Mus musculus: one gene and its partners. The protein of the gene in region 3 purifies or fractionates together with the protein of the main gene of each other region. This does not show direct contact. Links are inferred from orthologs where the notes say so. Each region holds a gene or a part of one and is shown on either strand. Other genes may lie near its edges. The genes, in order: Bcl11a, Dnmt1, Mta1 and Hic1.

Region 1 (3,500 bases), on a different chromosome or scaffold from region 3:
TTTGCTTCAGGGGCAGCTGAGGTCCAGAGCATCATAATTTATGTGCAATAGTAGAATGTTAATTTCACTATACGAATGCCTTAATTCATTACTGTGAATTATGAGAAGTCATGATTCTAGTCATGATCTATCTCACTTTGAGATGTGACTATGATGTTTATGTTCAGCCAATACTAGGGTAAGAGCAGGTGATTAAACAGCATGAAGGAGCCGAGGTCTTGCAATGACCTGTGCATGAAAGGTTTACCTCTCCTGGATTGCATGTGTGCACTGTGAGTGAGTATGTGAGACACCTCTGGATCGCATGTGTAGCCTGTGAGTATGTGAGACACCTTAGGTGGCTTTCCATTTCAGGGAAACAATGCGCCGTTAGCCCTGCAAAACAGATTTCAAATGTGCACCCTCTCTCTTTCCTCTCTAGATTCTGCTACCATACCATAATAGTTTTGAAATACCATGGAATCATTATGACAACCAGTTAAGGGCTATTTCCTTCCCTGCACATCCATGGAGAGTCCCAACTACACAAGTAAAAAGCCCTAACTATTTATCTGAAGGCTTCCCTCAGTCTTCAGATTCCTCTTCTATATACAGAGGCCCTGATTTTCAAACTGGCTAACCTGAAACTGAAAAGCTATTTAGGCCTTCCGGAGTAAGTGTGGTTTTAATTCTTGCCTGACAGACACTGTGTTTTGTCTTTTAAACGAGCAGCTCGATATGTAAATATGATGTTACATCACACAAGCCTTACTCCATATTTGGTGATTTAGCAAGGCTTTGGATCTCCAAAGATGACAAATCCCCTTCCGCCTGCTCTTGCCTGCTCTTGCTTCATTAATCATGCCTTACACTTGTGTTCCTTCTCCTTCCAGTCACAAGGCAGCACATGGAAATGGTCATTGCCATATCCTACAGGGAGGTGGGGGAGATAAAAATCTTAACCTCCATGTCTCAGAAGCTAAATGTGGTGGCTTCTAGAAAAATACTCAGCACACGCAGCGTTCCTGGCAAGCAGAATCCTCACTTCACGAAAGGAAAATAGTTGAGTATTGTTGCAGAAAGCAGAAAAGAAAAAAGAAGATAGGAAATGCCACACTTGATCTTAACGATCAAATTCCAGATTTGGGGGAGGAGCAATGTGACATTTAATCCCCCCCCCCCTTCCCTGCCGCCCCCTCGCCCCCAGTTCAACTCCATGGTCCACCTGTATCAGAGACAAGTTCCAGTAAGTCTTGTGACTGACTATCTATCTACCTTGCCAAAAATGCACACACCTGCGTTTGGAGGGTGGGGCAATGCAGAGAAGGAGCTGTCTCCCAGATGTGGGAGCCCTGTCAGCACAGAAGCTGCTTTGCTCTGACTACATGCTAAAGCAAACAGTGTTTTAAGAACCACTACCTAGAGTTGCTGTTTATCACTAGGGCAGGGAATTAAATTCCCTCTGTTAGCTTCTAATTCCTTTTCCCTGGAGCTGCTGAGAAACCCACACACCTAGCTACCTCCTTGGTAAAATTAACCGAGAGAGAAAGCTGTTAAATATGTGCATGCATTTTTTTTTCTCCAAGAAATTTTTTACATTAGGCTAGGGAAGAAACTGTGGAGACTGGACTGGACATTTGTAAGGGTGACATGTGGCTGTGTAAACCACAAACAAAATCAAGATACATCTGTCAAAACCACATCAGAAACAAGAGAGAGCGCAGGGGAGCATTTATCACTGAGCTGAGGAGGCAGGCTGCAGGGAGCAGCCGTTCCTGTCAAACCAACCTTTTGAAATTTCCAACATGCCCTTAAACTTTTCGAGTAAGCATGTCTGTGCGCTTCAGCAACTGCCCTCTCTACTCTGGCCTGGCCAGTCGAAAATGGCATCTTAAAGTCAAGGTCACTGTGTCATCCCACCACGGGGCTGTGTTTAATTACAGCCCCATACAGGCTGACAGCCAATATGGATCCAAGGCTAGCCCTGGAGCTCAGTTAACTCTTTCTAGCCCTCCAGGCTAGTTATTGGCTCAACTACAGATGCCTGTGTGGTTACCTTGCCTCTGATACATCCCCAAGACCATAAGTGGACACTGGAAACTGAGCTAGGTGTGGTGTGGTAAGGTTCAACACTTTAAAATAGGAGGCAAGCAAGGGGAAGAGTGTTGGCATCGTCAGAGCCAGGCGAGGATGTCAAGGGTGTGTGTACCTTTCCCACCTGCATCTGACTCAGTAAAGTAGGAAACGATTTATTTTCAGAGTTCTGGACGGAAGCAAGGTGAATGATTACTTAACATTATAAGGCTGCCATAGACAGTCACAGGGAGAAATACAGACAGACTTCACCTCCTTCCTGCTTGACTACAATGCCCCTGCAAACAAACAGAAAACATGCAAACAGTTTCTCTCCTTCGCTTCTCATTTACCTGCTATGTGTTCCTGTTTGGGGCAAATTCCTCTAGATGACGTTGATAAACAATCGTCATCCTCTGGCGTGACCTGGATGCCAACCTCCACAGGATTGGATGCCTTTTTCATCTCGATGGGAGAAGGGGAAGGCGGCTTATCCACACCTTTTTCTAAGCAGAGGCTGCCATTGCATTGTTTCCGTTTGTGCTCGATAAAAATAAGAATGTCCCCCAGTGGGAAATTCATCTGGCACTGCCCACAGGTGAGAAGGTCGTGGTCCCCTTCTGGAGCTCCCAACGGGCCATGGTCTGGTTCATCATCTGTAAGAATGGCTTCAAGAGGTTCGGCTGTGGTTGAAGAAACAAAAGCACAATTATTAGGGAACCAGTGGGGAGAGAAAAGGGGAACAGACATTCTCAATCTCACCCCTGCCTTTCCAGACTAGAACAAGTATTTGGAGCAGTCTCTACATAATACCCAGGAAATGTGGACACAGGCAACAAATGCTCTGGAGGGTATCAATAATTAAATAATTAAATCTATCAGTGAGGTTGGCCATCATGTAGTAAAGGAAATCCCTCCGACTTGGAGAACTCCAGAGAACACACACACACTAGAAATTCTTTCTTTAGAAAGAATGTGATTTAACAGTTAACATACACAAATATATATATATATATATATATATATATATATATATATATATAGGCTGCTTAAATAATAACTACGGGAAAAACATGAACTCAAACCAATTTTGCTCCCCTCCCCCCAGCCCCATACAGTAGGTTGTCTATTGTGCCCAAGATTAGAGAAAAAAGGCGAATGAGCACAGGCAGCCTTTGTGTGTGAATCTCTGTACTGTACACACATGGCTTCCACACAGAAGGCTGCTGCAGCCACACAGGACTGCCACATTTGCACCGCAGTCTACCCATCACAATGAGGTGAGCGTCACAGTGCTAACATCTCCCTGCCCTCCTCAGCTATGAAATTCAAGGAACATCACATTCACTGGCAGGTCTTCCCAAACATGTTCCCTAAATGGGATACTTCTGAGTACTTAAGAAAATAAGCCAATTAGTCATGTTTTTTTTTTTCATCCTGAAGAAAAG
Region 2 (4,924 bases), on a different chromosome or scaffold from region 3:
CGTCTGTGTGGTGGTAAGAATGGAACCCAGGCTTCCTGAAGATTAAACAAGTGCTCTACCAACTTGGTCCCAGCTACCCGATTAACTTTGGGTGCCAGGGACAGGACCAAGGAAATGTGCTGCTAGTGGATGTATCACACTGAGCTATGGCCAACTCTGAATCCTGAGATGCTGGCCTTCAATCCATGGATCCTACTCCAGCCTTCCAGGACTTGAAAAGACAGGCCTGTGCCACCGCACCTCGTCACCCCATGCTCTTTACTGTCTTTTTCAAGACAGGCTTTCTCCGTGTAGCTCTGGTTGTCCTAGAACTCTCTGTAGACCAGACAAGCCTCAAACTCAGACTTGCCTACCTGCCTCCCTAGTGCTGGGATTAAAGGTTCCTGGCTAGCCCTATGCTTTTTCTGTCTGAGCTGAGCCTCAGTGGTGGTCATGCAGACCTCTGTTGCCCTCTGTTGTCCACAGCAGGCCAGGGACTGTCCCACGAGAGGCCATTTCTGTCCCTCTGCCCGCGTGGTGCCCACCTGGAGCACACCAAAGGTGCACTGGTAGCCCATGCGGACCAGGCAGCGCAGTGTGAGCTTCAGCACCATGGAGCGTCTGTAGGACACGAAGTTCCTGACGTTCTCCAGAAGGAAGAACCGAGGCCGGTAGTAGTCACAGTAGCTGTAGGGGCAGGAGGGACACAGTCATTGCAAACCCCTCCATGCCCAGGCAACCGGTAACAGGGCATGGGCAGCTCCCATGGGAGCGGCGTTGGGGTTGCTCCCACAAACCTGAATCTAGACTGGGAGTCAGCCCCTCCACAGCAAATGGCAGAGGGCTGTGGTCCATGCTTACCTGAGGAAGGAGACCACTAGGGAGTTTTTGAACTTGGAGTAAGTGCGGGAGTTGAAGCGGTTCATGCCACTGAAGCCCTGGCAGGGTGGCCCACCACACAGCATCTCCACATCGCCCTTCTGTGGCAGCCTTTGGCCCAGAGAGTTGGTCACCTCCCCAGCCATGACCAGCTTAAGAAGCACGTTGCAGTCCTCTGTGAACACTGTGGTGCCGGGGTTGTTCAGCCGAAATGCCTGGGCTGCCGGGTCCCACATCTCGATGGCCCACAGCGTTTCCGAGATGCCTGGTAGACACAAAGCCAGACGAGTGCCATTTTAAATCTATTTTAATCAATTCTATTTGCTCAAACATGCATCGCACCACTTGACAGCCACCTTGGCCGGCCGGCCGGCCATGCCTGAAAGCCACCCTAAAGCCAGGCCAGAGTCAGCACCAGCTCCTGCTTACCTGCTTGGTGGAATCCTTCCGATAACCCTCCACAGCCGGAAAACACATCCAGGGTCCGGAGCTTGGGCAGTTTGATGGCTGCCTCAGGCTCTTTGGGCTCTGACACCTGATGCTTCCCCTTCCCCTTCCCTGGAGGAGGAACAGTTAATGAGGAGAGCCAGCAGAGTGCTCTCCTCAGGCCTACTCGGGAGATCTTTCTCTGCCATGCTATGTGACCTAGAGCCGCCTTTTGGGAGACCCTCCCGACTCAGCCACCCAAGCGCTGGCGTCTATGACCCCAGAATTTGGCAGGTGGAGGCAGAAGTTTCTGGGCTTCAGTGCTGCCTAGACGGCACACGCTTTCTCTCTCAGAACCATACTCAGGAGGACTGACAGATGGGACAAGGACACACCTTTCCCCTTCCCTTTCCCTTTGTTCCCAGGGCTGCGGGCATGGTTTGGTGGGTCTTCAAAGTTCTTGGTCTTTGAATTGTAGGCCTGCAGAGAGAAGCCACGTTAGTAGAGAAGAAATGCATGGATCCCCTCACACTGTTTAAGAGCTGACCGACAGTCTCTTAATCGGAGTTCAGCCACAGCCAATTAGCCACCAATGGAATTTGATCTCACCAATGGAAACAGACAAAACCTACAGTCAGCTGGAAGAGGTGCTGAGGCACAAGTATGAATTTGAGGCCAGTCCACGCTACAGAGAAGCTGACTACATACAACCAACACGGGACTGAAATGTACTCCTCCAAGAAGGGGGACGCTCTCAATACATATCAAAACCCTAGGCATGGTTATTAGACGCCTACAAAAACAGTCTCGGATAAATTTTAATGCTGTTAAGACAATAAAATGTTGCATTCTCCATTACTACTCTTAAAAAGCGAGTGTTGACTTTGCAGAGCACCTGAAATCAGACCTGTGCGCACGGACGTGCAGTGAGCAAGGATGTGCAGCTCAGCCCCAACACCTTACATGTTAACAATTGGCCTGCTAGCCACTACCTCTCTCTGTGTCAATGCCCAACACCGCCTCCACCGCCCGCTCGCTGGGCATCACGGCCAGTTTATGCCGTGTGGGAACCCAGCCCAGGGCTTCATGTGTGCTAGGCAGGAACTCTACAGATCAAGCCATATCCCCAGCTGCACTCTTTCCTTTAAAAGCCAAAATCCCACACCTAAGACTCAATTGGAGGTGGGGGAGGTGCTGGAATTAAGACTTGTGAGTACAAGTCTTAATTCCAGCACTTGGAGGAGACAGGAGAATTTCTGTCAGTTCAAGGTCAACCTAATCTGCATACAGAACTCTAGGGCTATACAGTGAGACCCTATCTCAAAAGACCAAACAGACAGCTCTGGGGAGATGAGGTAGCAGCTGCTCTCTCTAAGGACCCAGGATCAATTCCTAGCACCCACACGGTAGCTCACAATTGTCTTGAACTCCAGTTTCAAGGATCTGATGCCATCACACAGACATATATCATGTGGGCAAAATACCAATTAATTCTCATGAAAATAAAAATTTTTTTAAAAATTCACTAAAAAAAAACAAAATAAAAAACAGATCTACACATGAATTAGCTGCCTCCTTAGCTTCTCCTGTCGAAAGACACACCCAGGATTAGCCTAGCGTCTGCTGAACAAAGGCCCTGTCTCACTGAGCCCTGCCCCAGCCCGAGCCACTGTCTTGGGCACCCTGCTCCTGCACATTTGCCCCTGAAGCTTGGCTCCACCTCGAGGAAGTAGAAGCGGTCAGGGCCCCCTTGTGAATAATCCTGGATGCTCTCAAGTAGGTCTTCCCCGTACTCCACGGTACAGCGGCCCTGCACGTCGCTGAAGTTCACCACAGCTTCCTCGTCGCTCCAGTAAAGCATGTTGATGTCAGTGTGATAGGATCCGTTGTAGGACCTGTGGGTATTCTCAGGCCTGTGAGGAGGATACCAGGGGAATACTACTTTACCACAGATTTATAATCCCCGGCCGAGCACCCTCCTCTGAAATGCCTGGACCAGCAACTGAGAGCCGAGTCTGAGAACAGGAATCTTATTAGTCTTGTACACCTCACACCACAGCTTCAAGGCCTTTTATTTGTTGAGAGTGTCTTGCTCTGCTGCCCAAGCCGACCTCCAACTCAGTGATCCTCCTGCCACAGCACTTCAACTACCAGGATCACAGACATCAGCTACCATCCCCGTCACCCAGGTCACTTCAGGCAGCATTTAAAAACTATTTATTCATTTTTATTTAGTGTGAATGGGTAATTTCCGTCCGTGTATGTATGGCTACAGGTGTGTACAATGCCCACGGAGGGCAGAGAATGGCAGCAGGTCCTGTGGAATTTGGAGTTACAGATGACCGTGGCCACCATCTATCTGGGTGCTAGAAAACAAACATCAAATCTTAAGCACTGAGCCATCTCTCTGGTCTCTACGTAGCATTAAGTACACCTGTGGCAGCCTGTAAGAAGAGATCAGTTGTAGAATTTTCAGTATTTTGGTTTGAGGATGCTCAACCAAACTGCACCATAGAAAAGACCACATCCCAGTCCAGTCAGCTTGGTGGCCACCAACCCTTACTTGGCCCCAATACCACAGCAGGAATAGGATTCCTGGGCACCACCAGGGACTGGTGTACTCTCTGCCTTCATCCCACCCATCAATGCTGGGTGCCCTGCTCTTTTGTTTACCACACCCATTATTACAAAGACTCTAGGAAAATCAGGTGTAGTAGCAGGTGCCTGCTATCCAACCCTTGGGATGCACAGACAAGGATCTCAGGTTCCAGCTGTGCTGGCTGGTCTCACGTTCCAGCTGTGCTGGCTGGTCTACCTGGTAGTTTTCTTTCACAGAAGCCCCTCATCACTTCCAGCTACAGGATTTTTACAAGGGAAAGACAGTGAGGGCTGAGGCAGGAGGATCAATATAGTATTAAGGCAGGAGTGGACCACAGAGTATGTTTTAGGGGAGCCTGAACTCCAGAATGAAACCCAGTTCTGTTTTGTTTCTCTGTAGCTCTGGCTATCCTTGAACTCACTATGTAGACCAAGCTAGCCTCAAACCCTAGGGATCGAACTGCCTTTGTCAACCAGTTAACACCCATTCACAATCAAAGAAGCAGAAAGCACCCACAAATGCACAAAGGTATAAGATGTGTGTGTGTGTGTGTGTGTGTGTGTGTGTGAGCGCGCGTGTGCGTGCGTGCGTAGGGGAGTGTGTGTGTGTGTGTGTGTGTGTGTAGGGGAGTGTTGAGTCAAGCCAAGGACTGGAAAACAAACTCCAGAACCAGCAAGGAAGGTGCAGAGCAGGCTCAGGGAGGGCGATGCAAGAGCAGAGAAAGGGACTGTGGTTTGGGAAGGAGGACCCAGACAAATCAGGACACAGTCATTGACACCAGCTCTTGGTCCTTGTCAGACATAGGTTCCCCACTGGTCTACAACTAGGAATGCCTGAAAAGCTCCAGCTCTGCAAACACACTCGTGCCCTCAGGATAACCAGAAGCAGCCACCCCCACCAGCAGAGCCTCCTGGAAGGCCTCTGGGCAGGCAGAGCCCACGCCCACCTGTAGAACTTGTAGAGCCTCAGCTTGATGTCTGCCTCGTTGACCTTGCCTTTCTTCTTGCCACAGTGGATCTCTTTTATCCGACCGATGCGATA
Region 3 (4,924 bases):
CCTGACTCTAGGGAAAGGCCCCAGGAGATATCCCATAGTCGTCCATTGTCTGAGTCTCCAGCCAAGGGCTACATTCATAATTGAGTGAAGGTATCAAGCTTCCAGTTTGCATCAGATCCCATCAACTCCCCTTTGGCCCTTGGCATCAACGCACCATGTGGCCATGAACAGCCTACACTTGAGTTCCCGAAGAATACGGGGTTCCTAGTCAGGACACTGAGTAACAGAAGGACTGGATGTCTGTCGCCAAGAAGATATTCCTGACCCTTTGGAGAGTTACTGTCTATGGGTCCTAAATCCAGGACAGAGCAGAGCAAGGCAAGGGAGCTCTTATGACCAGCTAGTCACAGAGGATGAGGGTCCCACCCCTGCAGAAGACCCGGCAGGAGCCATGGGAGGAATGGAACTATCAGGTTCTCCGATGCTCACAGGCTACAGCTGGAGGCTACAAACTCCAGCCTATGCAGGCCCAGGACAGTGGCCTTTCCCCCAATGTTGTGAGTGGGTTTCAGTCTTGATGTGAACTGTGCTTAATCGGGGGGTGGGGGGTGTCACAGGGTACAACCCTTGACATTCTAAGGTCCCCAAAACCAAGGTGCTGTTCATAGCAAATGATCTGTAACTGCCTGGAACAGAGAGCAAAGAATGCCTGTGGAACTCAACCAGAATCACTCACTTTGAAATTTCCAATACAGTGAATGAAGGCAAGCATTCCATGTCATCATTCAAAATGCACACACTGGGGCGGAGACATGGCTCAGCCGTCAAGAGCATACATTGCTCTTCCAAAGGTCTTAAGTTCCAATTTCCAGTACTCCTGTCTACCAGAGCTCACAAACATTAGTATCTCCAGCTCTAAGAGATGCAACACTTCTGGTCTTGTCCAGACAGGAGGTGTGTACACACACACACACACACACACACACACACACACACACACACACACACACATATTCTAAAAGTTTAATTTTTTAAATTACACAGGGTTTCTCTGTGTAGCCCTGGCTGTCCTGGAACTCTCTCTGTAGACCAGGCTGTCCTTGAACTCAGAACTCCGCCTGCCTCTGCCTCCCAAGTGCTGGGATTGAAGGCATGTGCCACCACGCCCGGCTAAAAGCTTAATTTGAAGACAGATACCATGGGGAAGCCGCTGACCTTTGTGTCGAAAGGCTGCAGAGACTAGGAAGGAGGAGGACACTGTGGTAGCTGGAGACTCCCCTGAGGTCCTGCTTTTTTTCACAGGCAGGCCCCACAGACAAAGCATAGCTTTCTTGGGGGTTCTCCTAGCACTAGCCAATGAGCCCACACATGCCTGGGACACCTGGAGCAGCTTGATTCTGAGAAACAGAGGCTGAAAGCAAGGTCCTCTGACCTTTGAGACCTCTCCCACCTCTCTGGTCCCTGTGTAAGTTCATGTGACTGTGACAGCCTCGGCTGGCCTCTGACACTTCCCTCTGACACTTCCCTTCAGTCAGGCTGAGAAAGCGGATACCGTGGCTTCAGAGTTAGGAGGCTGGACAGAGTTCAGGCCTGTCTACAGAGCTTTAAGGCTGGGGCTATTTGGGGAATAAGCTGAACAGGCAGCAACTGGCTGGCTCTGGCTATGAGGTTGTGCATGGGCATCTGGAGGCCCAGGTGTTAGAGACAGGGTAACGAGGCTCAAGCACGGAACAGAAGTCAGAAAAGACCAGCCTCCCATACACAGCTCAGAGGGACGCACCTACTCCAACAGCCAGGCCACACCCAGCTGCCACCCAAGTGGGCTTAGCACCTCATTCTGAGGTCCAACAAACACCAGAAAATCAAACAGAAACCACAAGGCAAAGGGAAGGGCATGGAAAACGCAGGAAACAGGTGCTACGTCGGGCCAGCCACCCTGAAGGCAGCACACTGTCCTAGCATATGACAAGCTGTAGCTGAGGCCCCCAAAACAACCAAACAGCAATTGCCTCAGAGACTTGGTGCACGGAAGTGGTGCTCTCTGAGCCCCCAGTCCCAGCTAAGCCAACAGTTCCAGAAATGCGGAGCCTGACTGGGTCAGAGGCTGAGTGCTTCCTTAGGAGACAGAGCATCTGGAGCCCATCAGAGCATTTTGCCAGGGATGCTGAGGCGAGATGTGGAAGGGACCTGCACGCCTTGGATGCCAGGTCTGAGCCAGCTCATGTCAATCTGCTCGCACTTCCCACCAGGCCTGACAACCTGAGTTTGATCTCTGCTGCCACCTAGGATAGACTCAATTCTTGTAGGGCATTCCTGACTAAACCCCTACATGAATGAATGAATGAATGAATGAATGAATGAATGAATGAATGAATGAATGAAAGGAAGGAAGGAAGGAAGGAAGGAAGGAAGGAAGGAAGGAAGGAAGGAAGGAAGAAAGGAAGGAAGGAAGACAGACAGACAGACAGACATTTTAACCCCCCGAATGGGGAGGGGCTGGTGAGATGACTCAGTACGCTAAGGTGCTTGCTGCTAAGCCTGACAACCTGAGTTCAGCCTCCAGAACCACGTGAGAGGACAGAACCAACTCTACAAATTGTCCTCTGACCTCCAAAGTACACTAAGGACTTGAAGGACAAATTGGATTCCTGAGTCTCACATTGGGGAATGAAAAACCAGACTCTACACACACACACACACACACACACACACACCATGAATGTAGAATTATAATGAGCCAGGTGTGATGGTTTGCCAAAGAGGAAGGCAAGTTCAAGGTCAGTTTGGGCTATATAAATAAATGAGACCCTGTCTCAAAAAACATGGGATGGAGCTGGGGAAATGGCTCAGTGGTTAACAGCACTGACTGCTTTCCCAGGAAACCTGGGCTCACTCACCTCCTAGCCCCCACAGGGAGGCTCACAACCTTCTCTAACCCTAATGCCTTCTGACTTCCATAGACACTGCACACAAGTGGTGCCCTGACATACATGCAGGCAAAAGAATAAAATAAGTAAGGAACAAGGGTGGGAATGTGGCACGTGGCAGAATACTTTCCTAGCAGAAACAGTATAAAATCAAACTCATAATGAGCTACCAAAGGGAAATCCGAGGTCAAGGAGCCACAGGGCTCAACAGGCGGCTCTAGGGTTTGAGCCTTGCGGCTGGATGCCAATGTCCACTAGGACGGAGGCTTGGAGGAGCTGAAGCCTAGGTAAAAGCTACAAGTACTACCTCCAGCCTCCTCCATGCTGCTGGCCCAGCCTGAACCTCACCTTCTTTCAGCAAGTCAGTGATGTCAGCCTGGTACCGGTTTCCTACACGAATTTCCCCTTTATCAGCCAGGAGGGTCTTCTGCTGTGGGTCGTAGACTAGAGAGTAGAAGAAGAAATCCTGAAAAATACCACATACAAGACAGAGGTGTCAGACAAGTGTTCTCTTCTAGCTGCATCCAACAAGCCAGTCCAGTTCTGAGGGTGAGGGATGTGGTCCTGCCTGTCCAGGACCCAGGGCAGAAGCCCTGCAGCAACAGAAGTGAAGTAAGGACTAGGTGAGTCCTCATCAAACTGCTAGAGGGTACTTGCCTGGTGAGGGGCTCTCAAGGCTGCTGTGTACAGCCCCCTCACAAAAGCCACTGTCTTTCTGTCACTGCAACCTTTTGAAACTCAGCTAATGAAGGCCAGGCACAGTGGCACACTCCCTTAACCCCAGCAGTTGAGAATCAGAAACAAGCAGAGTTCTGTGAGTGAGGCCAGCCTGGTCTACATAGTGCGCTCCAAGACAGCCAGGGCTACATGAGAACCTGTCTCAAACATCACCACTACCCCTGGGGGATGGGGGGAGGGGAGCAGGGAAATCAACTTATGAGCGCAAAAAAAAAAAAAAAAACATGGTATCTAGGAATAAATTCTCCATGCTGAAGGCAGGCAAGCACATGAAGAGGCACCAAGCACAGCGCTACAGACCATACCAGGCTGCATCCTCATGGCTGACTCTGATGCTCTGTGCCTGGCCAGCAGGCTGACACTCACACAACACAGCCTTTCTTAATCTTTCCTGTGTCAGGCTTTAAGCCCAGCCTCACTCCATACAATCAGCATGGTGTTAGTTCTGAGTAGTGGTCTCCTGGGCCCAAGGTCACCCTCCTCCCTCCCGTCACCACCTGGGCCCTCAGTGCTCCCTGTTCCTGGGTCTATTGCCCAGCTCATCCACAGCTCCTTGGCAGCTGGCCCCTCACCTTCACATTCCACCCCACGACTTACAACTCCCCCTTTTCCAGCTTCCATTCTTCCTGCTACCACTCTGAAAACCACTAACTCCTCTTGGCCACTGCATGGAGGTGTTAGTCAACGACTGCTGCCTTTCCAGGGGTCCGGTCCACTCAGTGGACAGTGGTGCTGACTCAGGCCTGTCACTGCGGAGGAGAGTCTGGGTGGCATGGTCATGCTAGGCCTCCCTTCTCTTGGCTACTGTCTGAGACGTGGATGGCCTTCTCTCTCAGTGAGTCCCTGCCTGGAGTGCTGAGGTGCACATCTCATGGCGGCTCAGATTCCCAGCCCTGAAGGGGCTCACGCAGCAAAAGCTGAACCACCACACCCAACTCTTTCTGGGCTCTGCATGGCCGGAGTAGGGCTACAGCTGAGAACGCGGGCTTCTCAGTGAGCTCTGCATTTGGACAAGATCCCTGTGTAAGGGGTGTAAGCTGAGCGTAGGACGGATTCCTCCATCCTGGCCACGCAGTGAGTGAGGCCTGTCTAGGCCACCCGAGCTAGTGTGTGTGTGTGTGTGTGTGTGTGTGTGTGTGTGTGTGTGTGTGTGTGTGTGTGTGTGTGTATGTGTGTGAGAGAGACAGACAGACAGTGCATGCATGCTTCTTACTTGGCTTAGCATCCCTTTCAACTGCCACATCCTCCAGGAGACTGACACGCCAGCCAGCCATCTGGCCTCAGAAGCCTGACCTTCCCAGCAGTGGTGTCCTACAACA
Region 4 (5,568 bases), on a different chromosome or scaffold from region 3:
CGGCCGGGGGGCTCGGGTCCCGGACTGCCACCGCTTCCTCGAAACGGGTCTGGAGTCGGTACGGCCTCCTCCAGCTTTTGGAAGGGCAAAGGCGGCAGCGGGGGCAGGGCGAGTGATGGCTCCTTGTAGACTGCGGGCCCCGCACCGGGAGGGCTATCCGGGCGTGGAGGCAGTTCGCGCTCACTAAGCGGTCGCTCGGGGACCGAGGAACCTGGCGGGCTCTTCTTGGACAGATCCAGGCCGCAAAGCGGGGAGCAGCGACGCTCCGGGGCGCAGAGTGAGGCTGCTGGGCCCGGGCCTGAAGCATATAGCTCAGCGCAGTGGGTGTTGACGGCTGCATCGGGGCCCGACGGCGGCTCGGCGGCAGGCGGCGGCGGTGGCCCGGCCGGGGACGAGTAGCAAGCCTGGATGACGGGCGTGGCAGCCCTCAAGCCCCGGCCGGGCCGCCCGTAAGGAGCGTAGCCGCCGCCGCCGCTGCCTCCTCCCCGCAGGTGGCAGTACTTGCCGTGGCGTTTGAGGCGCTTCTTGCACAGAGCCACGAGGTCAGGGATCTGCAGGTAGCTGGCAGCAGCCAGCACAGCGCCCAGGCTCGGCTCCGCGCCCGGGGCCACCGCTGCTGCTGCTGCGGCCTCAACACTGTCAGTCAGGCGGCCGGTGTAGATGAAGTCCAGCACCAGGCGGAACACGGCCGGGCTCACCATGTCATGGTCCAGGTTTAGCAGGTTGTCATGCACCACCAGGGACTTGAGGTAGGCGCTGCTGGCCGCCAGCACGTTCTTGTGCGCGCGGAAGAGGGCATTCTGCACCACGATGATCACGTCGCACAAGAAGCCCTTGGTGCGCTGATTGTTGAGCTGCAGCAGTAGCTGCCTCGAATGGCCAGGCGCCTCCATCGTGTCCAGCATCGTCTGCCCAGCACACTCTCCTGCGGGAGACACACACCAGCTGGGTAAGAGCTACGCAGTGCGGTGCCCTGGCCTCTTGTACCCAACCCAGTCGGTTCCCCTCCGCTTCCCCTTCCCCTCAGCTGATCAGGGGCATGGAGCACCACGGCCTGAACAGTAGCCGAGGAGGATCAGCGGCCTCCGGGAGTGGAAGCCTAGGCCCGCCGGCCCCAGACAGAAGGTGCAGGAGGAGAAAGGCTGTGGATGGAGAGTAGGCCAGGTTAGCCTATCTGTTCCAGCCCCAGATGCTCCTGGGCACTCAGGCTGGGTCCTGGGAACTTCCAGGGAGAAATCTGTTTAGGGCGAAATGACCCTTTCGGAGACAATTACCCGATTTAAGTAAAATGTCCGCTTCAGGAAAAGTCATTCAGGGCCGAGAAGTTTGCCCAAGTGGGGAGACAAGGAGCCGAGTTAGAAGCGCCTCCCGCCTCGAAAGAAGTTGCCCCGGTTAGGGGAAGTGATAAGGAAGACGGGAGCAAGATGCCCATCGAGGCACCGCCCTGGCCCGGGGCTGTCAGGCCTTCGTTAGGGCCGGCCGGCCCGGCCCGGGGAGCGGAGACAGTGGCTGCGGTGGCGGGCAGAGCGCGAAGGCCGGGCCCCGGCGCGGGGAGGGCGTTATATCGGGGCAGGAGGCTGAGGCAGGAAGCAGGTGGGGGGGAGGGGGGAGCCACGCAGCTCCCAGGGGAGGGAGGGGGCAGCGCCCCGGGCGGGCACGGCGCACAGCCGGCTGCGGCCCTGACCCTGGCCTGCGCCCCACCCGCGTTCTGGACCCAGCCGGGGCCTCGGCTCCACATCTCTTCCCCAGCTCCCCTCCGCCCCGTCTCCCCCGAAACTCTGCCGCCTCAAACTTCGGGGAAAACTTTCCCAACTTCAGACAGGGCGGGAGGAGCGCGCCGGCCCCAGCCCCCCTCCCTGGCCCCCAGTTCCTCCTCTGGGCCCCCAATTTCAGCAGCCTGGTGGCAGTGGGGACCCACACCAAATCTAAAGCCGCCCTGCCCTCCGGCGAGCACGCCCGCCCCTGTTCCCCGCCTGGCCCGCAGGGCCTCGCCGGCCCGTTACCTGCGGCGGCCGCCCAGCCCGGCTTCCCTCCCTGAGGCGGTGGCAGCTCCTAGCCTGCGCCCCACCCGCCCCGCTGCCAGGCGCCGAGCTGTGCCAGGGCAGCGCCCCTGCCAGCCCCGCCCGCCGGCTCCCCTTGCCTTCCCCTCTCCTCCCCAGCCCATGTGCGGGCAGAGCCGGCCCCGGGCCGCTGACCCCGCCGTGAACCCGGCGCCGAGCAGCGGCCCAGCCGTCCCGAGTCCTCTAGGGAAGACACTTAGAGCCCCAAACGCCAGCCGCGACCCGGGCGCCCACGCCTGAGGATGCTCCCGAGGTAGCCGGCGCACGAGGACCAGATTGTCCCGGGTCCCTTGCCCTTCCCTGTCGCCAACTCGAGGACCCACCTGGGGGGCATGTCGGAAGCCCCGGGCCCGGCTGCCGGCGGATCCAGGGGGGGACGTGGCTGCAGTGCGCTGCCCTCCGCCCGCCGGGCCCCCGGTCGGTCTGTCTTGCCGGTCCGTCCTCCCCGCGTCCTGGTCGCGTCTCAGCCCCTCCGCGCTTTCCGCACACTCTTATCTGGAGCGGCCCGAACCGGCAGACGCTGCCGCGGCCATGGCGCCACCTCGCGGCCACGCGGGGACTGTGTGCGGCTGGGCTGCGACCTCTGGCGCACACCTGGGCCAAGAGGCTTGCAGATGCGGAGCTGAGCAGATCTTGCAGGTTCGCGCGCTTCCAGATGTGCCCACCTGGAGACTCAGATATCGGACCTGGGAGTCCCATAAACCTGGGGGTTTTGTGCTGAGTGCTCCCGAGTACATATTTATATGTTATATCGCGCCAATTCGGGGGGGGGGAGGGGAAGGTTCTGTCTTCAAATGAGGAACTCTTAAGCCAGGGATGGTGGCGCATTCTTGTAATCATCCTAGCATAGCACCCAGGAGTTGGAAGCAAGAGGACCAGGAGTTCAAGGTCAGCCTCTACTACCTGAGACCCTATCTTAGAAAAGGGGTTGGGGTGGAACACTACGAACAGTATTCTGTGAGAGGGCGAGCTTAGAAATCCTAAGTGAGATGAAGGTACATACGTTCGGAGCAGGAGCGGGGCGGCTTTTATTAGACATTTCTGAACACCATTATTCACTTGGACTCAGTGGAGAGAGACACATTCCAACTCTCCCTCAGACACATGTTATCAGTATGCACATCATAAACCGTCCACACTCAAACTCTGTCCAAGCAGTGACAAGGGCGCGCCATGTTTACACAGACCGCCCACCCCCTCCCGGAGTCCCAACTTCTTGGGCTACTGCGGAGGCTACTACGTGAAACGGGGTAGAGGTCCTACCAAAGAGCCCTCCCCGAACTTGCGGGTCTCCAGAAGGACCCTAGAGCCCTCCATTGGAAATAGCTGGACAGAGCCCCCTTGCGACGTGCCCCTCAAGTCCCCAATCCCCCATCTAAGCAGTTTTGAGGGATCTTAGTTTGCCCCCCCCCAATACACCATTCGAGAGATATCACGAGAACGGGCGGCTTGAGACCCCCTCAAAAAAAGATCCTACACGCCACACAAGGGAGAGCTCATTCATGTTGGTGACTCCTCTTTTAGGAGGGAGGGGAGCGTGCACCAGCTCTTGGGTGCTCACCGGAAATGTCCCTGCATAGCGGGGCGGAGGCATAAGCACCGTTGCAAGCACCGCGCCTCCGTGGCCCACGCTCCGCCTCTTCCCCGCACCTCCTGACCCCCGCCCACGCTATAGGGGGGGTCCCCCCAAACCGCCCACAGCTTCTTATTGGCTGCGCCATCCTCCGTGGCCAAGCCGGAGAGGCTGGGGCTCAGAGTTACTATGGTAACCAATGAGGTTCCCGGGATCTCATCTCTCAGAGGCCTTGGAGAGCTTAGCAACCGCGCGGGGCGCAGGGCGGGTGGGGGCTACGCTCGCCGCACCCCACGCTGTCTTCGAGCCCCCACTCCCCCGCTTGAGGTAGTGGCTGAGTCACTCGCCCGGGGCAGCCGGCCGGGCCTCTAGCTGTACCAGTGAGACACCAAGGTCTTGGGCGCCTCCTAGAGGCTGCGTTTCTTTGGCAGGAGACTTCTATGCCTGGCCTAGGCTTCTGGTCCAAAGAGTCTTCAAGGCTCACCAGGTTTCCGCGACAGTGTGCTCCGCCTCCATCTAATCCACTTACTACTTCGTATCTCCGTACAGTGTCCATACAAGACAAACACTGCAGTCCCACGGTGGACTCCACAATTTCTGAGCTCTAGGAGAAGTGAAGAGGTACCTTGGTATCTCTGTCGAGGGATACGCCTTGGGGCTGAAGCGGAAGTGTAACGGAGCGTTTGAGGATAAGAAGGCTCCCCAGAAGTGCTCTTAGGGATGAGTTTTGACAACTCTGAGTTCTCCCACAAGCAAGGGTGTCTCTGATGTCTCTGTTTTAAATGTTTTCTCCTTTTAATGGGGTTAGATCGTGCGAGTCTGGAGAGAAAGCTCTGTATGTGTTTTACACAATGGAGTTTATCCGCTGGTTGACCCATAAGGAGGTCGGCTGGGTCTTCAGTTCCTTCTTGTTCTATCCCTCTCCACCGACTCAAGCCCTTGTTGTATCGCTATGGGGCCAACCACATAAACCTTGCCCAAGTTTCACTGTGTACTCCCCTCCCCTCCCCTCCCCTTCTCTCCTCTCCTCTCCTCCACGCCCCACCACCACCACCACCACAGTTTCAAGTCTACGGCTAGCCTCGAACTCACAAAGGCGTCTACTTCCCACGTACAAGGATGCGCACCACCATGCCCCTCCTCTTAACTTTGCTTTCCCCTTCTTCCTGAGCTCCTCTGGTCATCCTGGTGCAGCTTCCTCCTCTCCGTGAACGCATGACGACCCCATTTAGAGCCCGGAGACAGAATCGGGCTGTTTTGGAGGACCTGTTCCATATCGTATTTGCCTTTAGTCTATTCTGACTCCTTTAGAAAGGAGTCCCAGCTACACACACCCTCTGCCAAGCTATTGAGCCCCCTTAGTCTCATTTTCTCTCTTACAGGCTCTGCCTATGCCTATTCCACCCCACTGAGGTGGCCCCCTCGTGCCCCCTGGGGCACTGCCAAGTTGGCTCTCCAGTACTTGTCAGGCTAGCCCTTCCTTTTGTGGATACTCCGTACAGGGATTTTCCAAACTCTTACAGAAGATCTTCTGCTCATTTCTAAAGTCCAGACCACTCTCCTTAGACTCCCTGATCTTCTCTGCGGTTTCCACCATCTGACCGGTACCTTTCCTCCTGTGACCCAGTCAAGAAGCCTTCCAAAACTCCCAGGCTTCTCCACCCCTCTTTCCCCAGCTCCTAGATGTCAAAGTCCGAGGTGCACTCTACTCCCCTCCTAAACCGGTCCAGTTTCTTGCCTCACCCCCCACCCCCCCCCCACACACACACCAGGAGAGAGCGAGGATACCACGGTGGCCAAATGGGAGTGATACCATCGCGGGGCATCTTCTGGCGTCAGAGGACTGTAGGGTCTAGGGAATGAGCAGTGTGGTTTGGGGCTGCCAAGGGAGGACCCCTGCGGTCCAGGAGAAAAGAACTGAGATCCTAGGACTCG

Evidence for each region.
Region 1: the proteins of Mta1 (region 3) and Bcl11a purify together in Homo sapiens (affinity purification with mass spectrometry; 4 studies listed by BioGRID and IntAct, counting the BioPlex papers as one, with this or other methods). This does not show direct contact. The link is inferred for Mus musculus from reciprocal best matches to the Homo sapiens genes MTA1 and BCL11A.
Region 2: the proteins of Mta1 (region 3) and Dnmt1 purify together in Homo sapiens (affinity purification with western blotting; 4 studies listed by BioGRID and IntAct, with this or other methods). This does not show direct contact. The link is inferred for Mus musculus from reciprocal best matches to the Homo sapiens genes MTA1 and DNMT1.
Region 4: the proteins of Mta1 (region 3) and Hic1 purify together in Homo sapiens (affinity purification with western blotting; 3 studies listed by BioGRID). This does not show direct contact. The link is inferred for Mus musculus from reciprocal best matches to the Homo sapiens genes MTA1 and HIC1.

Annotation. Positions count from the first base shown.
Region 1 is NC_000077.6:24,084,556-24,088,055, reverse strand, and holds part of Bcl11a (B-cell lymphoma/leukemia 11A), read right to left. Parts: intron 2,736-3,500; coding exon 2,406-2,735; intron 1-2,405. UniProt on the Homo sapiens protein: Transcription factor. Associated with the BAF SWI/SNF chromatin remodeling complex. Binds to the 5'-TGACCA-3' sequence motif in regulatory regions of target genes, including a distal promoter of the HBG1 hemoglobin subunit gamma-1 gene.
Region 2 is NC_000075.6:20,910,893-20,915,816, forward strand, and holds part of Dnmt1 (DNA (cytosine-5)-methyltransferase 1), read right to left. Parts: coding exon 4,830-4,924; intron 3,273-4,829; exon of another isoform or gene 3,198-3,272; coding exon 3,005-3,197; intron 1,765-3,004; coding exon 1,680-1,764; intron 1,417-1,679; coding exon 1,288-1,416; intron 1,124-1,287; coding exon 841-1,123; intron 667-840; coding exon 525-666; intron 1-524. UniProt on the Homo sapiens protein: Methylates CpG residues. Preferentially methylates hemimethylated DNA. Associates with DNA replication sites in S phase maintaining the methylation pattern in the newly synthesized strand, that is essential for epigenetic inheritance.
Region 3 is NC_000078.6:113,121,526-113,126,449, reverse strand, and holds part of Mta1 (metastasis-associated protein MTA1), read right to left. Parts: intron 3,334-4,924; coding exon 3,216-3,333; intron 1-3,215. UniProt on the Homo sapiens protein: Transcriptional coregulator which can act as both a transcriptional corepressor and coactivator. Acts as a component of the histone deacetylase NuRD complex which participates in the remodeling of chromatin.
Region 4 is NC_000077.6:75,166,620-75,172,187, forward strand, and holds the start of Hic1 (hypermethylated in cancer 1 protein), read right to left. Parts: upstream 3,637-5,568; 5' UTR 2,901-3,636; coding exon 2,384-2,900; intron 2,028-2,383; exon of another isoform or gene 2,004-2,027; intron 1,534-2,003; exon of another isoform or gene 1,312-1,533; coding exon of another isoform or gene 1,275-1,311; intron 926-1,274; coding exon 1-925. UniProt on the Homo sapiens protein: Transcriptional repressor. Recognizes and binds to the consensus sequence '5-[CG]NG[CG]GGGCA[CA]CC-3'. May act as a tumor suppressor. Involved in development of head, face, limbs and ventral body wall.